3 linked regions of the Caenorhabditis elegans genome follow. The protein of the gene in region 1 interacts with the protein of each later gene in a pairwise test. Each region holds a gene or a part of one and is shown on either strand. Other genes may lie near its edges.

What was found. Proteins that work in one complex are often made in the same cells at the same time.
Region 2: the proteins of mpz-6 (region 1) and tsct-1 interact in a two-hybrid assay, tested with the Caenorhabditis elegans proteins (one large-scale study listed by BioGRID).
Region 3: the proteins of mpz-6 (region 1) and abu-7 interact in a two-hybrid assay, tested with the Caenorhabditis elegans proteins (one large-scale study listed by BioGRID).

Annotation. Positions count from the first base shown.
Region 1 is NC_003280.10:9,404,998-9,408,855, reverse strand, and holds mpz-6 (PDZ domain-containing protein), read left to right. Parts: upstream 1-1,735; 5' UTR 1,736-1,778; intron 1,779-1,879; coding exon 1,880-1,978; intron 1,979-2,238; coding exon 2,239-2,319; intron 2,320-2,376; coding exon 2,377-2,571; intron 2,572-2,614; coding exon 2,615-2,749; intron 2,750-2,797; coding exon 2,798-2,998; intron 2,999-3,070; coding exon 3,071-3,256; 3' UTR 3,257-3,322; downstream 3,323-3,858. Other genes in the region: arrd-2 (Arrestin C-terminal-like domain-containing protein), read right to left, coding at 1-403, 456-731, 781-1,002.
Region 2 is NC_003284.9:12,432,293-12,437,102, reverse strand, and holds the start of tsct-1 (Protein tsct-1), read right to left. Parts: upstream 3,007-4,810; 5' UTR 2,950-3,006; coding exon 2,932-2,949; intron 467-2,931; exon of another isoform or gene 400-466; intron 1-399.
Region 3 is NC_003283.11:5,162,764-5,166,399, reverse strand, and holds abu-7 (Activated in Blocked Unfolded protein response), read left to right. Parts: upstream 1-1,617; 5' UTR 1,618-1,640; coding exon 1,641-1,865; intron 1,866-1,912; coding exon 1,913-3,004; 3' UTR 3,005-3,130; downstream 3,131-3,636. Other genes in the region: srw-140 (G-protein coupled receptors family 1 profile domain-containing protein), read right to left, coding at 1-297, 571-674.

The sequences.
Region 1 (3,858 bases):
TCCGTGCATTACATGCTAATCGATTCCCGGTCAGTGATCCATTTCTTAGGGTAAATCCCAACAGGTATCCCATTGAGATCATTGGAGATTCGAAAGTTGGCGGGAGTCCATTTGGCAGATCAATCTCCACATTGATATATTTCACCTCACCAGGTGCGACGTCACAACTGTAATTGGCTCCGCGGAGCACTGTTTCACCATCTCTTCGATATTTGGATTCAATTGGGCAGTCGGAGTGACAATCGTTAAGAGAACACAATGATTTCTGTGGGCGAGAGTGGTAATGGGATTGTTGAATGAGCTCGAAACGAAGATTAATGATTGGTTTTGTTGAATGATTCTCCATGATGGCAAGTGCTCGGATTGTCTCCCCTGCGAGGAATGCTCGTTTGGAAAAGTGAAGCTAAAATATAATGAGTGAATTTTTTGACTCTACTTTTGAAATTGAACAATACCTTCAACAAAAACAATCCATCTTTGAAAATCGTTCCAGAATTCTTCGACTTGACAAATTCCGCGTACTTCATCATTTTTGGCTCAGAAAGTGTCAGATTTGTCTTCTGAACCACACGGAATGTATTCATCATTTTTAACTTGAGTCTCCACGGACGATCAAATTCCACAGTAACAGAATACTCAATTTCTCCAAACATTCCGCAAAAACTTGGCGGAGAATTTTCTGGAAGTCGGAATCGGAAACGTGATTTGAGAGTTCCAGCGGGGATTGTGTCCTGAATGGGAATATTTTGAAAATATATTTATTAAGTATTAAAAACTCACAACTCCATCTTTGGCAATCCATCCCATAAATGTTCCGGCAAGATGGCGTTGGACATTTGAGCTCTCCGATCCTCCAAAATTACACTTTGATTCTCCTTTCCACGTGATTTCCATATATCGTGCAGAAATTGGATCTTTTGTTGTGAGCAACACTTTTCCAGAGACATAGTCGCCAGGCAGGTATGTTTTGGAAGGATTGGAGAAAACAATGTTCACAGACATAATTCAAAAGGGAGAGATCGAGATAATAAAAGACTGACTGAATGAGACAGATTCTACGTCGTTGTAATCAACTTTCAGCGTTTGTGGGCGGAGTTTCCCATCTTGCTCGGAGAGTGTGGAGGTGATGTGACAATATAGAAAGGTGGTAGATTGCCACCTGCTCTTTTATGAGAATTCCAAATCGATATTGTAATTTTTCTGCACCAACGAAGAACAGTGTCGGTGTAAAAGTCGTGTTTGTTATGGAAAAACGTATTTTCAGATTTTTATCTCCAATTTTCAAAAAGATCTGCATAAAAGAGCAAAATGCCAACAATGCCATCAAGTTTCCAACGTCTTCTTGATATCCCACCTACAATTTGAAACTGAAGAATCTGATAGTGGCACAAAGTCCGAAGGTACAGCTCATAGGTGAAATGCTCAAATAAAGAGAAAATAAACGAATTTTTATTGGTTTCAGCGCCCCAACATACAGCAAAGATCTGAATACAATTCGTTCAAGACTTTCAAAGTTTGTAAGAGGAGGTCAAAAGAAAGTGACAAAAGCAGAAGACAACGATGATTGAATTGTTCTATTCCATTGATCTCATCGAAATTTGATAATATTTTGATAATAAATAATTTATCAATTTAATTAATATAACAACGTGACATCGTTTGTACTTGTTTTATTCAGAAAAAAATTACAGAAAAATAAAAAGTGAAAACAAAAACTGACTCAGTTCTAAATATTTTCTTATCGATAGCTCTTTCGTATCCGCAACAATCCATTCGGAGTAAGTTAACATTCAGATTGCGCGTTGGGTCTGACAATGAGGGCATAGTGACTCTACCAGTTACTAGAGAAGCGGACTGCATTGACATGAACTTCTTACAGATGACAACCAACAACAATAGTTTTCATGTAAAAGGAAAAGAAGAAGTACAATTCGAACGGAAGAATGTGGTTGTAGCATGTGATGTGGTCAATGGGAAGGTAAATGAGGGCTCATTTCGTTTTTGTTTGTTGGGAAATGTTTCTGAAATAATTTATTGAGATGGAAATACATTTCTTTTTGAATAATGTATTCAACGTAGGGCTCGCGCTAAGAGCTGAAACGAGCACAATTTTGTCGGCATTCCTGATGTGTTTAACATTCGAAAATTCCTTAATTTTTCATAAATACGAAGTTTGGGCTATTAAAAAACTCATTTTCAATTCAAAAATCGAAGAGATCTTGAATAATCACATTTGAGATCATATATGTGGACGTGAGTAGCCAATTGATGGGTGTTCTATTTGCTGGTGATGAGATTTTGAACGTCAATGGAGAAACCGTAAGGAATATTTTAAGATCCGTTTCCGCTTCCGTTTCAACTAATCCAAATGTTCAGAACATAAAGACAACTGCTGACTTTATCCGTGCAATCAGTGCAAAACTTCCTGGAAAAGTGACAATTGAGTTCATGCGAGATGATCATTGCCTTGTCACTGAAAAACCATTGCCACCTCGTCGTCCAAATACTCAGATGGTTGAGTTGACTTTCACTTATCGTGGAGGTGCTGCAACAGGGATTATTATTCATAGAGTCAGTAATCGGGACACTTGAAACTTTTAAAGATGGTTTCCAGATGGCAGTTGATCCAAAAACTGTAACTATTTCAATGGTTCAGTCGGCTTCCAATGCGTGTCACTATGTCAAAGGTGGAGATATTCTTGTCAAAGTTAATGACATTTATGTTCTTGATCGTGACTCTGCTAGAAAAGTATGATATCTTCCGAAACACAAATGGCTACTATTATCGCTCTTTCAGCTTCTCTATGCGAGTGTCAACAACACAAAAACGGTACGTCTTACATTGGAAAGATCCACAAATACTGATCCACTCGGCCCTGCTCCACTGCCTCCCGATGGTGCACAGAGTACTGCTGTTGGAGTGAAGAAAGCTGGAAATTCAGTGATGCTTCCACCTCCAAAACCACCCCAAGGAAAAGCCAACAAGCAGTTTGATGTGGTCAGTTTAAACCCATTTTCTTTTATCACTTCACTTAAATATAGAAACATGTTTTCATTTTCTTCTTTGCAGCTTCTTCCTTCTGATGTTTTGGAAATTATGAAGACAAACAAGATTTCTACAAGAAACCGTGCACGAATCCTCCATGTATTATCAAATCAGCCGTTGCACCAGCTCCAACTCCAGTTCCAGCCACCTTGCCATCGGAGCCTGCCCCAGAAGTTCGTATCCCATACATTCCGTCTCCGAAGCCCCTGAAAATGACTCCAAAACGTCTGGGATCTTAACTTGAGGAAGATATTCGGAATAAATTTGTTCGAAAAAAGTTACTTTGAAGTGATTTATGAATTTTTAAAGTTTTGAAAATCTACCTATTTTGCCAATAAATTGTCATTTTCATTTGATAATACACACTTAAAGATACGGCTGAAAATGTACATGACAGTAAAATATACTGTGAAGCCAGAGAGTAAAATATACTGTGAAGCCAGAGAGTAAAATATACTGTGAAGCCAGAGAGTAAATTATTCTGTGAAGCCAGAGAGTAAAATGTACTGTGAAGCCAGAGAGTAAAATATACTGTGAAGCCAGAGAGTAAAATATACTATGAAGCCAGAGAGTAAATTATTCTGTGAAGCCAGAGAGTAAAATATACTGTGAAGCCAGAGAGTAAATTATTCTGTGAAGCCAGAGAGTAAAATATACTGTGAAGCCAGAGAGTAAATTATTCTGTGAAGCCAGAGAGTAAAATATACTGTGAAGCCAGAGAGTAAAATACTGTGAAGCCAGAGAGTAAATTATTCTGTGAAGCCATGAGTAAAATATACTGTGAAGCCAGAGAGTAAATTATTCTGTGAAGC
Region 2 (4,810 bases), on another chromosome or scaffold:
AAATTTGATAACATTTTTGCGCCGTGGACAAGACAGATATGAACAAAAGTTACAACGATTTGACCAAAATAGATTTGAATTAATGTATTTTGGGAAACAAAACGTACGACATTTTTATATTAAAAAAAACATCTTTCGCCTTTAATTTGGTTAGGTGAGCAAATTAAAAATTGTTTTGAAGAAAAATGGCAAAGATAAGTTTCAAAAAATATGCTGGATTTTTTATCGCATTAAAAATCACAATCGTTGACTGATTACACTCAAGAACCCTTATTCGAAATTTCTGTTTCAAATTTGAACAAAAAACGAAAAGATAAATTGGTCGCAACATGCAGCAAATGATTGATGAACTGCTGTGGGAGACATGAATTGACACGTAATTTCAATTTTCTCGAAAAAGTGCTCGCGGTGCTGAGGAACAGCTGTACTTGCTCAAGTGTGATGGCAAGTGTGTCAAGTAAATAGACACGACGGCGCAACTTTTGGCACGGAAACTTTGGAGTTTTTTTTCTGTTTTTTTGTGTTACTTTGTCATCTGAGTAAACCCATGAGACTTTGTTTTTTTTTCAGGAAAGAAAGGAACGCTTAGTTTCTCTCTCTCTCTAAATGGTGCAGACAGTTATTGAATCATATTTTTTTAATAGTTTGAGAACGCTGTAATTGGAAAAGGAATTTATGAAAGTTTGAAGTACATCAAGGACAACTAACAACAGTTCAAGAAAGCCCAATAACTTTATGAAAGCACAGTGCAAAATCTGCAAGAACTTTTGTGACGACATATTTTCTTAACTTAAAAAAGCATTTATTTTTCAAGTTTTCCGCTTTGTGAAAAATTGTTGAAAACTGTTTTTTTTAATTTCAATGGCAGTGCTTTTTCTACTAGTTTGGAAGGAAAAAAAGAGAAAGCCAATTTTCGTAACTAGAAAAATGAAAAACTTGGTAGCTTTTCATACCTTTTTTCAAATTCTTAGAGCTTAAAACTCAAGTCTTACAAATAATCCTACATAAACCTTTGCCAAAAAAGCTAACGTTCAATGAATATGCAACAAGAAGTCAGCTTTTTGCAAGAAGAAAAAAAAATAGATGAGCTAAGAAAAACGCGTATTTTCTCTAACAAAGCCACCTAGACATGGCGCAATAACGTCTATTTCAGATACAAATAATACGAGATTATGACTGTGACATTCCAGTGAATTGTAAGATTTCTGAGATTATATTTGAAGTCATTGTCAAAAAGAAAAATATATAATTCTTCTGAATTATTATTTCAGAGAGAAAGATTTTGAGGGAGTTTTAAACAAGACACTGCGATTTCTCGTTTTCAGTCACTAGAAATGTCACAGTTTATAAGAGCAAAATAGAAAACGAATGAAAAATTGAATGCTGTACATTTCTCTTGCTCTATACTGGCTGCTACCCCACTTTTTCAATCACACTGTACGCTTCTCTGTGTGCCCAGACAAAACCATTGAAAACTACTGCTCTGCATAGCCCGCAAAGCAGGAAAGCTATTTTTCAATCGCAAATAAAACGAAAAAAGCGCATGGGAGCGCGAGATAGAATGCAATCTTTTTTTGAAACTTCGATTCTGTAGTAATTATGCAAGTTGTGGTTGCAACAATGGTGCTCACAAAAGAGTTGCGAAGAGTAAATATGAAAAGGGCACATGAATAGCGATCAAATCAAATGACGAACTGATAAAAAAGATAATATGTAGTTGTCATGTGTACTCTTGAGCGAACGTGCAAAAGAAAATTGGACACATAACATTCTGAACTGGAGTTTGAAGGCGGAGAAGATCCAAAAAGGAAATTGTTTTTGAACAAATTAGCTTTGAAGCTTTCTCTATTATTCTTGCATGCAAGACTAATTTTCAATTGGTCCGTAGGGATGTAAGACTAGGCCTGTGGAGTGGGTCGCCCCATTTTTTGGGTCGGTCGGGTCGGGGTAGGAGTCGGAAATTCTAATATCATGAGAGTGGTTTTGTATCATTTGGCTCTATATGCTCTCCTCATTTTTCAAACAGAAGTTCAATTTAAATGTTACGCTTGGAAAAGAGCAGCACACCACACTTTTGGCTCATTGTTGATTGGTGTTTTTCATCGCGTAAAAACTGGAAATTTAATTGAATACTTTTGGCACTCGTATTCGGAGGGTCTCATTGACCTTTAACTTTGTTTTCTGCAAAAGTCTCACAATGTAGGTGTTTCAAATTACGTTGCATTTGATTTTTTAACGACATGAAAAAATTTCAAGATTATACTTGAAATTTATGTGTTCAAAAATGTTACTAGAATAAATTATTTTCAATTTTTGAAAGAAAATGTTCCACATTCTTTATACATATCTTTGTACATATGGCAACTAAACGTTTGCGAAATTCCTAACATTGAACAAGACAAATTATTTTCAAATTAAATTGATATGCTGTTGAAGGAAAAATACGTAAAAATAAGAAATTCTAATTTTAGTTATTGTTTATTCTTATATTTTATGAACGCAAAAAGCACTTGATTAAACAACAGAAATCAAAAAGTTAAAAAGAAAAGTTGCTGTTCAGACTGACGGGGGTACGGATAATTCATGCAAATCGGTGTCATTCTAAAAATCGATATGTGGAATTGAATCAGAAAGGAAATCGTCGAAAAAATTACAGTTGACTCACGATTTCTGTATTTTAGAGTTTGTTTCGCGGCAGTCACGCGTTTTACATTGGCGACGGTGAAGAAGCAAAACGAAAGGACAACAAAATTGCGTAGAGTTTCTCTTTCTCAACCAACCATCAAAAACGTTTAGATTTGGAAAACGTGCTGGAGATAAACAAAACACATACATAAACACGAGGTCATTGACAACGAAGAGCCGGTTGTTTGATCAGGCAGATCATAAGGAGACAAGGTCATGTGGTTTATCTTAAAAATGAACACTTACTGCGGCAAAGATGAACATTCTCAGTGACAGGATCCCTTGCTGCGGTCTCTTTTAGCTGTAACTACCCTGAAACTTTAAGTTATTTGTATCTTGTAAAACCAACGTTATTGACAATAGAGAGCAAAAAAAGTTGTGAAGATATAAACGCAAACCATAAGAAGGAGTAACGGTTCTGCTTTTTATTTGAGTAAAAAATTTTAAAAATTGAGGTTCCGCAGGAATCTTAAATTTAGGCCACTTGTCCGCGGAGCGACTGGAAAAAATATTATTATTTAATCACAACCTCATTTTGAAATTTTGTGTCGTTTATGAAAAATTCGCTAGTTTAATCTCAATTTCTACAACAGGGTAAAGTTGATAAAATTTTAGAATTTTGCTATATTGAGTATTTTTTTGTTAAACTTTTCAACCGTTAAAAAGAAAAAGAAAAAACACTTTTGTGAAATTTTCAAGAAGTTTCATCCTGAGAACAAATTTGCAAAGTTGAATGCAAAATTTGATTTTTTTTATCACTTTTAAACTTGCGTTGAACTTACGTGAAACTATCTTATATTAATGATTGATTGGTAAATTCACAAAAATTATGCCCCATGTTACAGATCTTGTGAAAATTAATTAATGTGTGAACACATATTTTTAAAGTTCAAGAAGTTTTTTAATTGAAATTGTGAACAAAACCACGTGATGCATTTGCGGACGCACAGAGAAATTTGATATTCACTAGGAACATTAAGTATGTTTATTTTTTCGTTTTTTTGTATGTTTTAAATATTCGCAACAAAAATTTCAATTGTTTTAATTATAACATTTATGATATTTGCAAAGTATTTCATCTGATTAAGAGTAAAAATAATTTCTGTTATTTTCAAATATCATAAATAAGAAAATAAATGAGAATGGCAAGATGAAATATGAGGAAAAACGGGTTTGTTGTAACATAAATAATGCTCATCGCACATGTGCAAATACATAAAATACGTAAACGATGAGATAAAAAAATTGAATTTCTCGAACGTCTCTATGTGTATCTAATCCGATAAACACTAGTTTTAGGGAGTTATGAGGATGTTTTTCGTCTTGTTTTCTATTTTATTTTTAAAGATTTTATTTTTAATTATAATTTTAAAGAATGTCAAAGTGTAGAAAAACCCAATCAACAAATGAGCAGAAAAATTAAATGAGCACTCAATGTCCTTTTTTGGAAGAGAGCAGATGGTAGTTAAAAGCTAAAAAGACGCGGAACCCTTTTTTTCAAATGTGTTCCTCTGTGACGGCTGGCTTTTATGGGTTGAATGAAAGAATGATGGTGTTAGGGTACCACCCGACACAAAACAAAACAGAGCTGTTCTGCAAGATCAAAATGACGTTTTTTCAAAAATATATGCCAATTTTCTTAAAACTAAAAAAGAACAAAACTGATACAAGAATTGAAATTCCCAATGGGGTAAAATTCGAATGGGATGAGAAGAGGAAATGGGCGGAGGAAGGGGGCAAAAACGTTAATGAAATTTTGTTTCAAAGTTTTGTTTGCCCAAGGCTATTTTCTACTTTTTACATTACTTCAAAAATTGTAATTTCAAAACAAAAGTGGACTGGAAAAAATTAAAAAATAAAAATATTCCAATGGCTGCGCTGCAAACAAACAATTGGATGCTTCCAGATTTTCCAAATTTGCTGAAAACAGAATCGACAGGTATTTTGGGCAAATCTTCCTGCACAAATTGGGAATTTAACCTTGGAGCTCAGAGAAAAATGATCTACATGCAAATGTATCTATATATATTATATATATATATATATATATCTAGAGAATTTATCAAAGTATTAATTTGGCAATGTTGAAAATAGGTAGAGAAAAATCACAATCCCAACTATTTTT
Region 3 (3,636 bases), on another chromosome or scaffold:
CAAGTGGAACAACGTCGTGAATAATCTCTCAGAGCTTCCAGCACTAAGTTAAAAAGAACCCATGCATATGAGCCTGATTGGAAACAATGGGTGTATAGAAAAATAATGGATTGAACAATTAGTTGCATTTCATATAATAAAGTGCAAATATCGAAAAATGCAATTGCAGCCATAATGATGTTGACAGATGAGTTTATCATCGGTTTTCTGGTGAGAATTATAAAATGGAATAGGTTTATTGAAAAGCTCACAGCTGCTACTCGAGATTCATTTTCGAATACTGTGTTGTAATAAGCTCTGAAATAAATCTTTTTAAATTTCACCCTTTTTTTGGGTTTTCCGGTTATTCCAAAAAAAAAAAAACGTTTGTCTCTACAACTTTATCTTGAACCAATCAAAGGCGGAATCGTATCTGTGAGTTTTTTTTTGAAAAAGACAGAAAATAGTCTCAATATACCAAACTGTACAGCGATCGAAACGTTAAAATTTTATGATAATTTTCTCTTTGAAATTTGGTAATTTCGGCACATTCCAAAACACAAATGAATATTAAAAACGAATAAAACAAACCCCAATCCATCAGCAATCCGACATAGAAACAGGGCCGTTGATGTTTGAATATTTGGATAAAAAACCTCAATTTGACTACAAAACGACATGTCTTGTTGAGCCATGGCCTTAGACTGAACATTTCATATATGACATGTTCATATATGACATTTCATATATGAACTCATTCAAAATGTTGTCGATGCCAGGTGGTTCAAACAAATTATATTAATTTGAAAATGTAAGACCACTTGATTGAATAAATTGAAATATGACAAGTAAATAGTCGCTTTTTTTTCGAACATCAGTCAGAATAACTGAGACAAGATTGAGTCATACATAGCTACGCTGAGTATTGCTAATTAGCAAAATACCAGTGCTAATTAGCTGTTGGTTTTTGGTTATGATTTTTTTGTTTTCACATATTTGAATCCTATTGCGTATTTTATTTGATGTTATTGTCATACATTTGATAACTGTGTGCCATTAAATTTTACAATAGTATATTTTTGTCACAACCATTTTCAGAATTTTTTCCAGAAATATACGGTAATCGGAGTACGCGCTTTGCCACGTAGAAATTTGATTTTAAAACTTTCAAAATGAAAAACAATTTTAATTAATATTAAAGAAAACATTGAGAGACGTCAATGTCTATACTTTTTCAAAAAAAAACACTTCCTTCTAGTAACCTTACAATAACATGTGCTCTAGTTTTCTCGCTGGCGCTACTCTACCTTTAAAAAATATACCCACAGACGAACAGTGCATACTTCAAAGCACAATAATCACGACTAAAATTGTGCAGGTTATTAATATTTGAATCACAATTCTTTTGCGCGTATTGAGGCCATTATTAACGCAAACTAGGCAGATTCCAAACGAATGCCAGACGATTTTCCGTTTACTCAAGTGTTTTAAAAGTTTCGATGCACATGCACCAGTTGAACGGAAGTTTTTTACCAACGCTTTGGAATGTTTGCTCGGCGGAAAGAGGGCGGAAAATGAAAAAGAGTTAGAAATCAGTATATAAAAGTGAGTCTGCAAGATAGTTTAACCATCCGATTTCCTCTGTTCGAATCATTACTAAAATGCGCTTTACTTCACTTGCCATTGCCTTCCTTGCATGTGCCCTTGTGGTATCTGGAAGTGTAATCCGTGAAAAGAGACAGTGTGGATGTGCTCAGCCACAGCAGAGCCAATGCTCGTGCCAACAAGTTCAACAGACTCAGTCATGCTCGTGCCAATCTGCTCCAGTTCAACAACAATCCCCATCCTGCTCATGCGCTCAGCCACAACAAACTCAACAAGTTCAGGTACAGTTCATTAACATATTCGCAAACCATTAAATCAAAAATTTTAGGTTCAATCTACTCAATGCGCCCCAGCTTGCCAACAGAGCTGCCAACAGCAATGCCAGGCTTCTCCATCAGTGTCCCAGTGCCAGCCACAATGTCAGCAACAGTGCCAGGCTCAATGCACTCCAATGTACAACCCACCAACCACTACTACCACCACCCAAGCTCCAGTTGTCCAATACCAACAGTGCCAACCAGTATGCCAACAGCAATGTCAATCTACCTGTGTTCAACAACAACAACCAGCAGCTCAATGTCAGCCACAATGCCAACAACAATGCAATGTTGCCTGTGATTCCCCATCCACCACCACCCAGGCCCCACAAGTGATTCAAATTCAACTTGAGATCCAACAAGCTCAAGCTCAATGCCAACCACAGTGCCAGCAACAATGCCAGTCCTCATGTGTCCAGCAACAACAGCCATCGACCCAATGTGAGCCAGCCTGCAACACTCAATGTTCTGATATCTGCCAACAAACTGCTCAGGCTACCCAACAAGTCTACAACCAGAACATGAACCAGAACACCAACACCCAAATGTACAACCCATACAATACCAACACCAACCAGAACGCTAACTGCGCTCCAGCTTGCCAACCAGCCTGCGACAACTCCTGCACATCCCAACAGGCCCAGCCAGTGTACCAACAAGCCCAGCCAACTTACCAAGTCCAGCAAACCACTGCCGCTCCAATGTACGATCCATACAACAACCAAGGATCTGCCAACTGCGCTCCAGCTTGCCAACCAGCTTGTGACAACTCCTGCACATCCCAGCAGACTCAACCAATGTACCAACCATACGACACCACCACTGAAGCTCCAGCTCAAGTCATCCAGATTGTTCTCCAGACTTCTGTTGCTCAATCATCCCAATGTGCTCCACAATGCGAACAGTCCTGCCAACAGCAATGTGTTCAGCAACAACAGCCAGCTGCTCAGTGCCAAACTGCCTGCCAATCATCATGCTCTAACTCCTGCCAAACTGCTCAACCAGCAACTACTGCCTGCCAACAGAGCCCACAACAGAGCTCCTGCTCCTGCCAAGCTAACTACTCTCCATGCGGAAATGGACAATGCTGCCGCAGAAAGTAAGAAAGACCGAATCGATCGATCGAAGATTTATGGGTATCAATAGTCCATTGTTGCTCAAAATCTTTTTTGTATATTTCGAACACCATTTTTTCTTTGACTATATGATAAATAAATCATTTTCAATTATTCTACAGTATACAATAATAGACAAAAAAATGTTGATAGACCTGTACCAATCTAATTCGAATGTTTTGTTCTTCAAATTAATGATATACATACTTTACACGTAATCGAATAAACAGAAATCAGAAAACGTGATGATTAATCTATTGTTCTCTAGTTTTGATCAGTTGGAGTGGGCGCAGAAACAGCTCGTAAGCGTGAAGAGCCTCTTTTCGGGTGGGAAAATGATCTTTGCACAATTGCCGACGGGGCAAACAAATATTACGAATAGATCAAAAAGTTACGCCGATCAGCTGGAGAGATATGGTGAACACTTTCACGATACTATTTTTAAAACGAGTTTAATTCGTTCATACAAGCTTATACGAGTTTACTGTTGAAAGGTTCTACAGTAATCAGAGAAATTTCGAGTTTAACAAATAATGAGACTGACAAATATCTTCTGAAACAGTTTCTAGCAGATACAACTAAACATTTTTTGTGTCATATTCATCGAACGCCCTATCAAC